2 linked regions of the Arabidopsis thaliana genome follow. The protein of the gene in region 2 interacts with the protein of the main gene of each other region in a pairwise test. Each region holds a gene or a part of one and is shown on either strand. Other genes may lie near its edges.

Region 1 (6,493 bases), on a different chromosome or scaffold from region 2:
CTTCCTTTTCTTCCTTTGAACCGAGCAATGCCTTTAACCGCCCTAATTCAGAAGCAAGAATCTCAGCTTTCTCAGCATGAATTTCAGCAATCTTCGTCGCTTCCTCAGCATGGCTAAGCGCCTTGTTTTTAGCATCAGCGGTCATAGACAATTCATGTTTTACCCTCTGGAGTTCTTCTGTGGTGGAGAGGAGAGCTGAGATATCCAACGCATGCTGACTTCTAATAGACTCTAGCTCGTTCTTTGAAGTTACGTCCTTTTTCTGAACAGCTTCAAGTCCAGCCTGTTCCAGTTCAACAGCTCGGAATTTCTCAACCTCGAAACTCTCCTCAGCTCGTTTCTGTGCTGCCAATGCTTCTTTAAGTTTCTCATTGGCTTCTTCAACAAGTTTTTCGGATTCTTTAAGATCATCTATAGCTTTAGCTTTATCTTTCTTGAGCAATTCTATTTGCTCATCAGCTTTCTTTAAATCCTCCTGAATTTGATTCAGTTGTGTCTGCAGCTCCGTTCCTTTTACCAACCGCGAATGCACTTTCTGAAAATGTCAAAGAATATGGTCATCATCAATGTCTTTTAAAGCTAATGAAAACCAAAAAAAGATTCATATATCAGTTGGAGAGAGTTCAGTATCTTGCCTCGGGTGTAGGAATCCTAGAAGGTCGACGGTCAGGAGTAGGCTTTGAGTTAACGGTTGGAGGAGAACGGTCAAGCGAAAGACGAGTATTTGGCACCGGGGAAGCCGAATTGCTATCGGATTTAGAAGCAGAGAGTTTACTCAGTCTAGGAGGTGGTGGTGATGGTTTACTACGAGGAGTCTCCATCAAACCAGTTCTACAGTAAACATGAATCAAGACAATGTTACACTAAACATCAATAAAAAAAAGTTTTAAATTTGTGGATCTAACATTATTTTACCAAAACAAGAGTAATTAAGTTGCTAAAAATCATAACTTTTCACCTGACTAAATCAACTAAGTTCCCAAAAGTCAAAACATTTACTAGACTCAAATCAATTCAGTTACATTTACTAGACTAAATCAACTACATTCCAATCAAATTAGGATTAAAATGATCAACTCAACAATTCATCACAAGAAACAGATCCAACTGTCAAAATCAAGAATCATATCAGATCCACTTGTAATGAAAGTAGAAGAAAGACTAAAAGTACTCACTTGGTTCTAGATGCCATTGTTGTTGCAAGAGAAGAGCTTCAAAGAAAAGAGAAATTGAATTGACAAAAAAAGAGTAATAAATGCAGCTAAATCCTCAGCATTGCTGCGAGAAGTCAGATCGATTTCATGGTCTTCTTCTTCTTCTTCTTACAGGACTACAACAGCACAAAGTCTTGAACTTACGATTAAGGGTCTTGTTAGAAGAACACAAAGTCTTGAACTTTAGGCAAAAGAATGGTAGGAGAGACTAATAATGAGTAATGGGTTGCGCTGTCTCCATAGTGGTCACCCTCTCTCTCTCCTTTCTTTCTCACCGCTTTTGCTTTTTTTTTTTTTGGGGAGTAATATATTATGATGACAAAAGAAAAAAGAAGAATAATAAAAGCTGTGAGTGAAGTGGACCAAAACAAGTTGGCTTTATTTAATAATGGAGGTGAGAATAAATCTCTCTAACGATCTGATTTAAGACCAGAGAGTTTGAGATCTTGGAGTTGTGTCATGTGGACTTCATGTGCTCTACTCAATCATGTTGATTTTTTTTTTCTCTTAATGAGATCTGCTAAACTTAGTTTAAACTTTAAAGACAGTCAATTTATTAATATAATTATAATTTGTCCACATTCAAATGTTTTCTCTACCTTTGTTTGGATATCTATTGTTGACACAAAATAAGAAATTATAAGTGCATCAGAAATCTTGGTGTTCATAGAAAAGAGGGATGATAGTGCAAGATTATTTCTCATAAGTACTGTCTCAAGATTACTTCTAGATCTTCTGAAATTTGTTTTGTAAATTTTTCCACATTTACTTGCATTAGTTAATTAACCTATATGTCTGATTTAGATTTTTGTTGTTGGTGTTCATAAAAAGAATATAAAGTTTTGACTCTTTTTAAAGCAACCATAGAAACAAGAACATTCCTTACAAATAAACATAAAATCGTTAGTCGTTCCGGAATTTTCTCACGTCAAATGATTCTGACACTCCTATTCACAAAACCGACAAAAGCTGTAACACAACAGCTCACTCTGTAGCTGTGTGCAATGCAAGAAGTGGTTCAAGACAGTACCCAGCAGAGAGATCACAAGCTAAGTCTTTTACTCCTAAGAAGGCTACAATAATTTAAGATTATTTACATGATGTTTTTATGGAAAAAAAAAGGCTTATGAGAGCTCTCACTCATACATCAGTCATCATATGAAATGTGAGGGTTTGTGACACAACCTGGTGCATTAGGATCCTCTGCCCCGCAACAATCATAGAACTTGGCAGCATACGGTGGATCATCTGGTTTCAATTCATAGTACCTTCATTTATTGATTAAAAAAAACAAGTTCTAGTTAATTCCACTTCTTAGTAAAAAGTAGAAATCAAACAGATGCATCATACTCAAGTCGATTAAACATGGTTTGGAATAAATATATATTCAGTTTCGAAACACCTTAAAATTAAAATGAAATAACAAATATCAGGTACCAGCAAGAATATGAATGCCAAAACCAACAACCATAAACACCAAAATAAACTCATTCGTTGCACATAACGATAAAAGCTCAACAAAAGATAGTTAAGTCTATGCTATGTGGGTAACTACAATGCATGGAACAGAGAGAATCACAAACAGAGGAAGTAAGTAAATAACCAAAGGAGCCAATAACGGAACAGAGACACCTACGTTCCTTCCTAGTCCAAAGTTTATTACCAAGATAAAACACGCAACATAGAATCAGATGATAAATCTCTAAACTGTATTTTTCACCACTCTTTATTTATGCTATTAACCGTCGACTAAACCATTTTTTCAACTAGCAGAACAAAGTGTAGGCCACTAGACAGCTTGAAAACTTGTCGAGATAATTTTTTATCCTCAGTGGTTAAGAGTATTCGACGTTTAAGAGTGACCACAATCATTAAACAGCTTCATGATTATGCCTAAAGAGTTTGAAATGGGCAAGGCAAATACAACAGTAGCTAATTATCTGCAAAGAAGGCTAAGAGCTAGTTTCAAATCAACCAAAACATGACCTTTGACCCACAAATAGCCATTAAACTGAGATCATGATCATCTATCACTTCAAAATTATTGGCTACAAAGAATCTAAGGTATCTAACTAAATTAGCTATAGATCCAGAACCTTAATACAATAAAGTGGATGGCTTTCAAAACCCATCTCAACAATTTGTGCTTTGCCATTATAAATTAGCGAATCAAGCTGCTTGGGATGTGAGATTCTTCATTAGTGAATAGATTTAGGGTTTGTAGGAGACATAACCTTTTCTGGTCATCGTGACGACGACAAACGAAGAAGGAAGGATGAAAACGGCAAGAGGAAGTTTCGTTTGAAAGATCTGTGTAGCTTTGTTTGCACCTTTGGCACAACTTCTCCATCTCCTTCTTCTCCATTCTCGAAGAACACTGTAATCAATTTCCTAATTTCTACGGCAAGTCAAATGGATCCGATTCCGGTTCACCGGAAGTTTGGTATTGCCTTTCGATTCCGGTAGATTAAATCAGTAATCTACGTTTTAGCAAAGATGAGCTGTTTTTGCTGTATTGACTTATGGGCCTTAATGGGCTTATTGGGTTTAGTTTTTATTTTTATTTTTATAACTTGGCCTCATTTTTCTGATAGTGAAATGTAGGATTGAAAAGCATAAAAACATTATAAACAAAATAGCTCAAAACTTTTTTTTGTTAAATAATTGTGATATAATAAGAAAAACGTTTTGTAGTTTTTTTAATTTTGAATTATTTTTTCCACATGCATCAAATATAACATACACATGAAAATCAAATATAAATGTATGATAAATATTGTGAATGGTAAAAATAATAGAATCACGTTATGAAAAATGGTATATTATACATCATCGATTGGTGTCTGATAAGTTTGGAGGAAACTTTAGCAATAATACAGGTTTTCTCTATTTATTCATTAGCTAATAGGATTATTTATACAAAAATCATAACTTGATTAGCAAGTTCTTTACATTTATGATAATATTAAATTTTCTATCTAACAATAAGAAAATGTACACAAATATTAATTTTTTATTAATGATAAAAAAAATATTTATCTTGATCCCGTAATTATAAGATTTATCATGAACTATCGATATCCCGATCTTTCCCTTCCCACTTCCCGCAAATTTATATATGGTAACACGTGTAAGATTGGACAAGCCTTCTAAACAACAATTTTAATGAATCGATCATTTTTCGTGTATATATGTAAAAGTGAAAGAAAAACAAAAAAATCAATCGACCAGATAAGAAAACATGTCGGAAAATGGAGTTAAAATTATCATCAACACTAGACTAGACGCCAAAACCTATAAACAAAAAAAAAGGATAGAAACACTATTGTTGTGCAGTTTCTTTCACATTACTCCGTAGCTCAATGGTTGGTTAGCGTTTAATAACGCCTTCCTCTCTGCGAGTTCGAGTTGAGTCGCATGGTGGTGGTGGTGATGATGAAGTTGATGAGGTTGTTGTTGATTAGAGTTTAAACCAAATAAACCCTAACCAAAAATAAATAAGGTATTCTTAAATACTTTTTTTTTAATTGTTTCATAAATGATCAAATTCGAATCGAATCGTACAACAGAAGCTCTGGTGTTGAATCGCCATGAGGTTTTTGCAGATCTGAGGTTTTTTCTCGAGAAGTAAGAGAGATCTGGAATTTGGCGACGATGAGTTACGGATGGGCGATATACGAAGGCACGGTGGTGATAGCTTCACTAAGTCTCTTAGGATGGGCAGGTTTATGGTTTCTTAATCGGAGATTATACAAAGAGTATGAAGAGAAACGAGCTTTGGTTCAAATCATTTTCAGTGTCGTCTTCGCTTTCTCTTGTAATCTATTGCAGCTCGTTTTGTTCGAGATCATACCTGTTCTCTCTAGAGAGTAAGTCTTTTCTCGAGTAATCCACTCTGTAGTTTTTGATATTTAGCTAGTTTTGGTGTTTTCTGGCATTGGAGGTTTTTGGAAACTTTACTTATTTGTTGTCTTCTAGATTGTGTTACTTACTTGGTCCTCCTTTGTTTGCAATTGCTTAATTTTGTTGACTTCTTACCTAATTGGCAATGATTTTGAGATTGAGTGTAGATTGATGGAGTTATTGTCTTAAGAATTTTTTTACTTGACAATTTTTTTGGTGTATGTGTAATGTAATCGAGTATATAAACTGTGTGGTAGCTAGCTTCTCTTGTTTATTCCTTTATGTCATGTGGAAATTTGATACTTGATACTAGATGCTTATATCATTGAGCTTTTGAGGTGTTTGTCATTGTACGTAATACTTATATTGGAGGGGGAATTCATGGCATTATGTAGCAATTGTTTAGTTGGAATATTAATTTAGAGTTTTAAGCCTTGGACCGATCTTTTGATGATTTTGCAGGGCAAGGATGATAAACTGGAAGGTGGATCTTTTTTGTTTGATACTTCTTCTGGTTTTCATGTTGCCGTATTACCATTGCTATTTGATGCTTCGTAATAGTGGTAAGCCTTATTTCATATGTGAATTTTCTTTGCTCTTATCACTTCTTGTTTAGAAGGTAATCACTATAATTGGTTAATTCATTGCAAGTTTCTTAGGAGCTCCTGAAACTATTTTTGTTATATAATTGCTACTCAACTGAGATTTCTTTGAGAACACTTCTGTGCAGCTGTGTATAAACAGTCTTTGGCCCATCATTTTGATCTTATATCTTGAAAAATCTTGATCCTTATCTCTGGCTTTGTTGCTTCTTTTATAAACACTCATGAGTTCAATTAGATGGAGATAAATGAATTTGAGAAAGCATCACTTTATTGTTCGCTGCCGCATATTACAGCATTTTGTGTGAACTGTCTGTAATTTTTTCAAGTTAAAATAACATTTCAGGTGTAAGAAGGGAGCGTGCCTCTGTTGGGGCTTTCTTATTCTTGTCAGCATTCCTTTACGCATTCTGGCGTATGGGAGTTCATTTCCCTATGCCTTCAGCAGATAAAGGTATTTATTTCAAACTACTGTAACCATTCCTTTCCTTCCAGCATCGCATCGTTATCTTGCTAGTTGCTACTCATTTTCCTCTTCTAAGTTCATTTATCCCTTGCAGTAGTGATAATTATAAACTTTAAGAACTAAGCTTGGTACCAGTGTTACACCTAATTTAATTTCTGTATAGATGAATATGGCATATTTATCCATTGTTATATGCACCAATATTGATAATACTGACTACTGAATATCTAGATTAGAGGGTATGATGTTGTTTGCAACGAAAGATAATGAGAGCTAGATAAGAGTGTATAGCATTACCGATAATGAGA
Region 2 (6,540 bases):
ATAGGCGGACCTTATCTAGTAATTATATATAATGAAGAACTCAAAATAAAGCTCAAAAAAGCTTGTGGGAATTGTTGTGTAATATGAAACAGAAAAGAGATACAAAAATGTGAAAAGAAACTGATGGTTTCCGTTTCATGTGATATTTGCAGTTCTTTAACTAGTTTTTGTTTTCTTTAAAGGCATTGATATTTTGCATTTACAATATGTCAACTTCAAGAAGAGTAATGTGTGAATTACAATGTCATTCTTTAGGAATAAGCTCTAAGATCATGGGTTGGCACAAGCATCCAAGAGCGATCAGGTCTAACCATGCTCTGCCCCAGATATTATCCAAGTGTTAATTAGGAGTGTCCGTCCATCATGTAAGATCGCATCTTTCTTGACAAGCTTCTCTACTATAGGCTTCTCTAGAAGATCATTGACTAAACTGATTGTATAGCTTTCAGAAAGAGACTCAGATTTGGATGTGACAATAACACCATGGTTGGAGGCAATATCGAGAGTGTTAGGCACAGTAACTATGGAAGCTGCCTCTTTAGGGGAGTGATTTTAAAAGCATCAAAACAAGGAAGGACGTCTCCAATAAATAATCCACCTTCACAAATGAAACTCAAAAATCAGCATCCACACATCCTTGTCTGTTTTACATAGCTTAAAAAAGGAAATCACCGTTGTCTTTGAAAGCTTATCTTGCACATGAAGCGGTAGCAAGAATATGATCAAAAAGGAGAGGAACAAGACTATCAGGGTCATGAGCTGCAAGATAAGGAAGTGTGAGGAATACTTTCCATCGTATGAATAATCTAACCTGTCAACACAATGTGTATCTCGGGACCAGGATCAACACCCGATTTCTCATAATGGCGAGCGAGAGAATAAATGGCGTTGAGAGTAGTAGCACCATACCCGATCCGTTTGCCATCTGGATCAAGAACGACCAAAGTCGATAGTGGAGCTAGCTATTCGTCCCATACGTTTAGCTTGCCGGAGCTGCCACTCGTAAAGCTTCGCCTATTCAGAACTAGTTGCTAGTCGGGAACCTAGTGGGATGGCACACCGAGAGCCTTAAGTGGTACCATGACTTGCGAAAAACGGTGGCTAATACAGTTTTTTTCCTCTGCTTAGACATCTTCTTGCTAAGAAGACGAAGAAATGTGAGAAATTGAAATCTGGAGGTTACGTTAACAGAGGAAGAGGAAGAAGTCAAATACCAATGCAATAACAAATACATCGCAGTCTTGATACTAAAAATCTCAAAACAGATCAATTTGCTTACATTCTTCACCTCAAAAATTAAAACTTTGCACAATATTCCAAAATTTTATCGATTGTTTTAAATACAGAAACTCTTGAGCTCTGAGACAGAAAGAACCAGAGTACATAGAGGAACTACAAACTTTGTAATGGTAAAACAAACTCAAAGAAGATTGCAAAATTAGCGGGTACAGAGAAGGTGATGATCATCGGTTCATTCCTCACGCCAAGTGAACTCGCACTTCAAGCATCTATAAAATCTTGATTCTGGCTCATCTGCTGAACGAATCTGCATTGATTTGAAGTACGCCTTGTCGTGGCCACACCTTGGACATGGAGCTGTTAAAACAAAACAATCCCAACATGAGAAAGTCATTGAACAAAAAGTCTACTCTACTCTTTCCCCAAGTGTTTTTGCACTTGCATACCATGAATGATGTAATACCACTTTAGCATTATTGTTTTTGCCCTTTCCATAACATGAGTAATTATGTAACTGATTTCCACCAATCAACTTTAAAGTATTTACGAATTTAGTCGACCAATCAACAGAGCATGGACTAACTAACTAATCACAGTTCTAAATTTAGAATAAGAGAAGACCAGAGACTGAAAATACCTTCTGTTTCAGCAGCTGTGGGTATATCATCTTTAGTAACAACAGGTTCTATAGATTTCTTAACCAGAAGTTGCTTCTTCTTTATCTCAACCCGTCTTTCGATATTGGCAACGTATGGACATGTGGAACAGAAGAATCTCGAACTCCCACCTCCCTCGTAGCGCAACAGATTCCCACATGTGGGACAAAACTCCATCTTCCACCTCACCGATCAATTCGCTGCAAAATCATCCCCCACAAAAATCAATTCATAAAACTATGATATAGACAGATATATAGAGACAGAGAGAGGGAAGGGCTGTTTTTAATACATTGTTCTACTGTGTTCGTGTAACAACCAGTTTTTACTTTAATAGCAAGGCAGGTCATGAAGTAACTTATAATTCAAGTAATCCATTCTTAACCGGAAATAACCAATACTTTTCCATAAATTCAACTTTACATTCATTAGACTTTGGTTTAATAATGAAACCAACTCCAAAATCTAGCAATTTAATAATACCACAATTCAATCCACTGACTTAATAATTCGATCCACTAATCCAATCTATACTCACGAGTGACGACCACATTCTAAACCAACAATTCAATTTTTATTGCCAAGATTGACCACATTTTCAATAGAATATACATATTTAATCAAGTGTGGTGAAATCAACAAACCCAATAGCGAAGCTATTGTTCATACATAAACACAAGCACGAAAGAGAGTTTCTGTAACAACGTTTTGACTTTTGACAAATTTGCATACAGAGTCAACAAAAAGTCGAGATCTTTGTGTAACCAAAAGCATAAGAACCAATCAGAACAGTTAACAATAAAAATGATTAAGCCAGAAAACCTAGAACACAAATTCGTGAAACCCTAAATCTCAGAACAAAATAAAGATCGAATTCGCAAGATTGAACAGATCGACATCATATGAGATCGAAATGATTAAAAAATCGAGCTTACCAGGCGATGCGGGTGGTGTTGGTTACGGAGATTGCGGACGAGACGGCCTAAAGTGGCGGTCTCAGCGGCGGCGATAGATGGAACCTTTGACGGCGATAGATGTAACCTTTGACGGCGAGAGATTGATGTTTGTTTATATATTAAGGCCCATTTGTTTAATTCTCTGGGCATTTAGGCCTCTTTTTATGCTTCTTCTTCTTTTCTTGAGTGTCTTAGGGGTTGATTGGAACAAAAATTAAAAGCCAAAAATTTACTAATCCCACTTTAAGGACTTTATTTAATTTAAAAGCTTTTAAAGTCTATGATTCATAGGCAAACCGACATTTTTGAAGTATCCAAGGAATCTGAGGTAACTGGTTTATTTTATTCTTTTTTTTTTTTCACATAAAAGTTTTTTTTATTAAAAGCATAACATCTTACAATACTTCAAGTACAAAGAGACAAACGCTCAAACCGGTTATTCAAACCCGGTATCAGAGACGGCAAAAAGAAGCCCATTACAAACATAAGCCCAACAATTCATGAAACCACTGGTTGAAGGAAGAGTCGATCATGTCCAGCACAGATACACGTGTCACGAAAGGAGACAATGATGATAACACGTGAGACGTCGGAGTTTTAGGTCATCGTCGGTCAGCCGACATAGTTTGCAACCGAAAGGAATTCTTAGTCACCGGAAAAAGTCGTAACGAGCATCAATACATCAAGGCTCAACAATATCCGATGAACATCACCACCAAATTCAGAGAATCCCAAACAAACTTCGCCGTTAGATCTGCAAAATTGAAATCTTCCATGGATAAACGCAGTTCATGAATTCCGGGATCATCGACTTAAAAGATAAGCTGACAAGGCTTCCATTATTAAACCTAAAAAACAGGAAAGATAAAACGATTCACATGCTTTGGTAAGAAGAAATTAGCCTCAATTACGTTAAAATCAATCCAACGACAACTCCAATCCGCAACTTCAAATCCGATTTTTAAAATTGAGAAAATTAGCTTGAAAATCGAATTAAGCTCTTTAAACAAAGAAGGATCAGAGAATTATGCAGTCAAATCAAAGGATTAAAACGCAAACTAAATCCAAACAAACTAAAGCAAAATGAATCGAGAGAAAACGAAAATAAAAACAAAACCCCAAAGCCAGCCAACCGTCGCTTAAGAAGCCGACGGATGCCAGAAGCAAGCTGACAAACGCTGTGAAAAGCATTGACGGACGGCGGATCGGACATCTCTGCTAACAAAGCCAGATGATGCCGTGAAAGAAGCTGACCAACTACTGCATGAGAAGCCGGTGGATGTCAGACTCAAAGCCAGCGTTAAGAAACTGGACGACGTTAATGGATTTTGTGGAACATCAAAAGAAACTTGGATGTGGCTCTCTCTCTAAAAGATATTAGAGAGATAAGAGAGAGAACTCTCTCACACTCCCGGATGATGGAAAATAAATTAACTGCTTTATTTTATTCAATTCAGGTTCAGTTTTTTAAAGTCACAATGTGAGACTTTTTGGGCTATAAAACAAATAATAAAATAAAATCTGTTTTTCTTTTTTTTTTCTTTTCGTTTTCTCCATGACAAATGAAAAACAATTTCTCTATCAATAAGTAATTTAACTCAAAAATATTTTGATTAATTAATAATCATCTTTCTATTTTCACTTTTTAGAGATCCAGTTTTCATTATTTTTTTGCATCAATTGCATCACAGTGATAGTTCATTGATCCAAAACACCTAATCAGATCTTTATATGGATTAAATATATTTTTTATTTACTGAGATTTGAGTATATTTATCTATTTATTTTATTTTGTATTTTTCTAAAACTTATAATAAATTAATTTTGTTAGTATATTATCACAAAACTCATTTTCAAATAATTCACAATTCTAAATATATATTGTAAAAATAATAGTAACAGTTTCTACAGTTTTTAGTTCCAATCATACTTTAACAGCCAAAGTTTTTAAAGTCAAAGTCTTTACAGCCAAATTCTCTACAACCAAAATTTCTATAGTCAAAGTCTGTATAGCCAAATATAACAGTCGTTACCAATCGACCCCAAATTTTTTAGTATTTCGGCTTTGTAAAATTTCTTGAAAAGTAACCACTACTTCACTTAACGATAGAAGTTAGAACGATCAAGGCATAAAAACCGGAACCAAAGAACCAAACCAAACCAAGCTGAAAAAGGGTTCCGGTTCGTATCAAGATACCACTAAATACTCCTGTTGAATCTCAGTCAAACTATCCATTGGATATTGGATATTGGATATACGGTATACGCAAACCGAAACGGATATCTATGGATACCCAAATCGAACCAAAAAATATTTGGTCAACTCTATACAAAACTACATCTAAGCCAATACATTTTTAAAAAACCTATCACCCAAAAAAGTTTTGTTAATTTTTTAATATTTTGGACCATTATTATTTTGGTAAAAAAGTTTCGGATATTTTTCGTTTCTTTTTTTGGTATTTTGAGTAAAATGATCAAAACCGAACCGATATCTATTAGAATTTGGTAATTTGTCGGCTCTCTTTCTAAGTATCTGAACCGAACCGAAACTTTTTTGGTTCCCTTATGGATCCTAAGAGGCTAGAACAGCATAATCAAACGCCCAAGCCTAATATTTATGTATTAAATTATTATAATAATAATTCAAATATTCGAATTATTACATAAGTTTTACCAAAATATGCAATTAACAAAAATAACGATAAAAAGATACAACCGCAAATAATATTAATAAAAAGTTACGATAAAAAGATACAACCATTCAGAATCAAATAGATACGGCTATAGTTACACAAGTATAACTGTCCGAAAACATAACCATAAATATTTTAAAAATATTTGACAAAAAAAACACGACCGTAAAACAAATTTTAAATATTTTAATGAAAAGTTGCGGTAAAAACGCAACCGTTTAGAAATGCAAAAGACATTTATTGAGATTGTTATTGCTATTAGATTCCAAAAAACTTTGGTTAGATCAAGAATTAGAGCAATTTCTTTCATATTAAAATGATGTATGTAAGTATGTTTATAAATAGTTTAGAGAGTAAAGAATTTGGAGCCATTTTCCAGATTATCATTTTTTAATTCATCATAAAACAAATAATATGTGTGAATGAACAAAATATGGTTAGGAAGAAAGACAAATATATAGAGTTCAAAAATCATAAACATTTAAATAAACAACTTTGTTTATACGGAAAGTAGTGAAAAGAAATGCAAAGAAATATAATGTAGAGACGTAACTTTAAATGAATATATGCAACAATAAAGACACAATCGCAAACTGAAAAGATACAATTGTATTTTGAACAAATATAACTATCAAAAAAAAAAATCGTAAATATTTTAGCAAAATGATGCGATAAAAAAACACAACCCTAAACTGAAAAGATATGACTGTAGTTGAAAAAACATAACTGTCAAAAAAGATAACAATAAATAATTTAACGAAAAGATGCAATAAAAAGCCACAACCGTAAATATTTTAACAAAAAATTGCGATAAAAAGACGCACGCAACCATTTATCTGCGAAAAGATACTATTGTAGTCAAACAAAATAACATTCAAAAAAATATCATAAATATTTTAACGAAAAAATGTGACAAAAAAAACAGCCGTAAAAACATAAACGTATATATTTTAACGAAAATTAGGATAAAAAGACGCAACCGTTTCAGAAGTG

What was found. The genes of interacting proteins can lie anywhere in the genome.
Region 1: the proteins of AT4G07950 (region 2) and AT1G65000 interact in a two-hybrid assay, tested with the Arabidopsis thaliana proteins (one large-scale study listed by BioGRID).

Annotation. Positions count from the first base shown.
Region 1 is NC_003070.9:24,144,242-24,150,734, reverse strand, and holds AT1G65000 (F-box only protein), read right to left. Parts: upstream 3,811-6,493; 5' UTR 3,580-3,810; coding exon 3,449-3,579; intron 2,483-3,448; coding exon 2,362-2,482; 3' UTR 1,934-2,361; downstream 1-1,933. Other genes in the region: AT1G65010 (WEB family protein (DUF827)), read right to left, coding at 1-535, 636-831, 1,176-1,192; GTG1 (GPCR-type G protein 1), read left to right, coding at 4,869-5,083, 5,580-5,680, 6,066-6,173.
Region 2 is NC_003075.7:4,794,442-4,800,981, reverse strand, and holds AT4G07950 (DNA-directed RNA polymerase, subunit M, archaeal), read right to left. Parts: upstream 3,142-6,540; 5' UTR 2,831-3,141; intron 2,096-2,830; 5' UTR 2,073-2,095; coding exon 1,877-2,072; intron 1,597-1,876; coding exon 1,472-1,596; 3' UTR 1,187-1,471; downstream 1-1,186.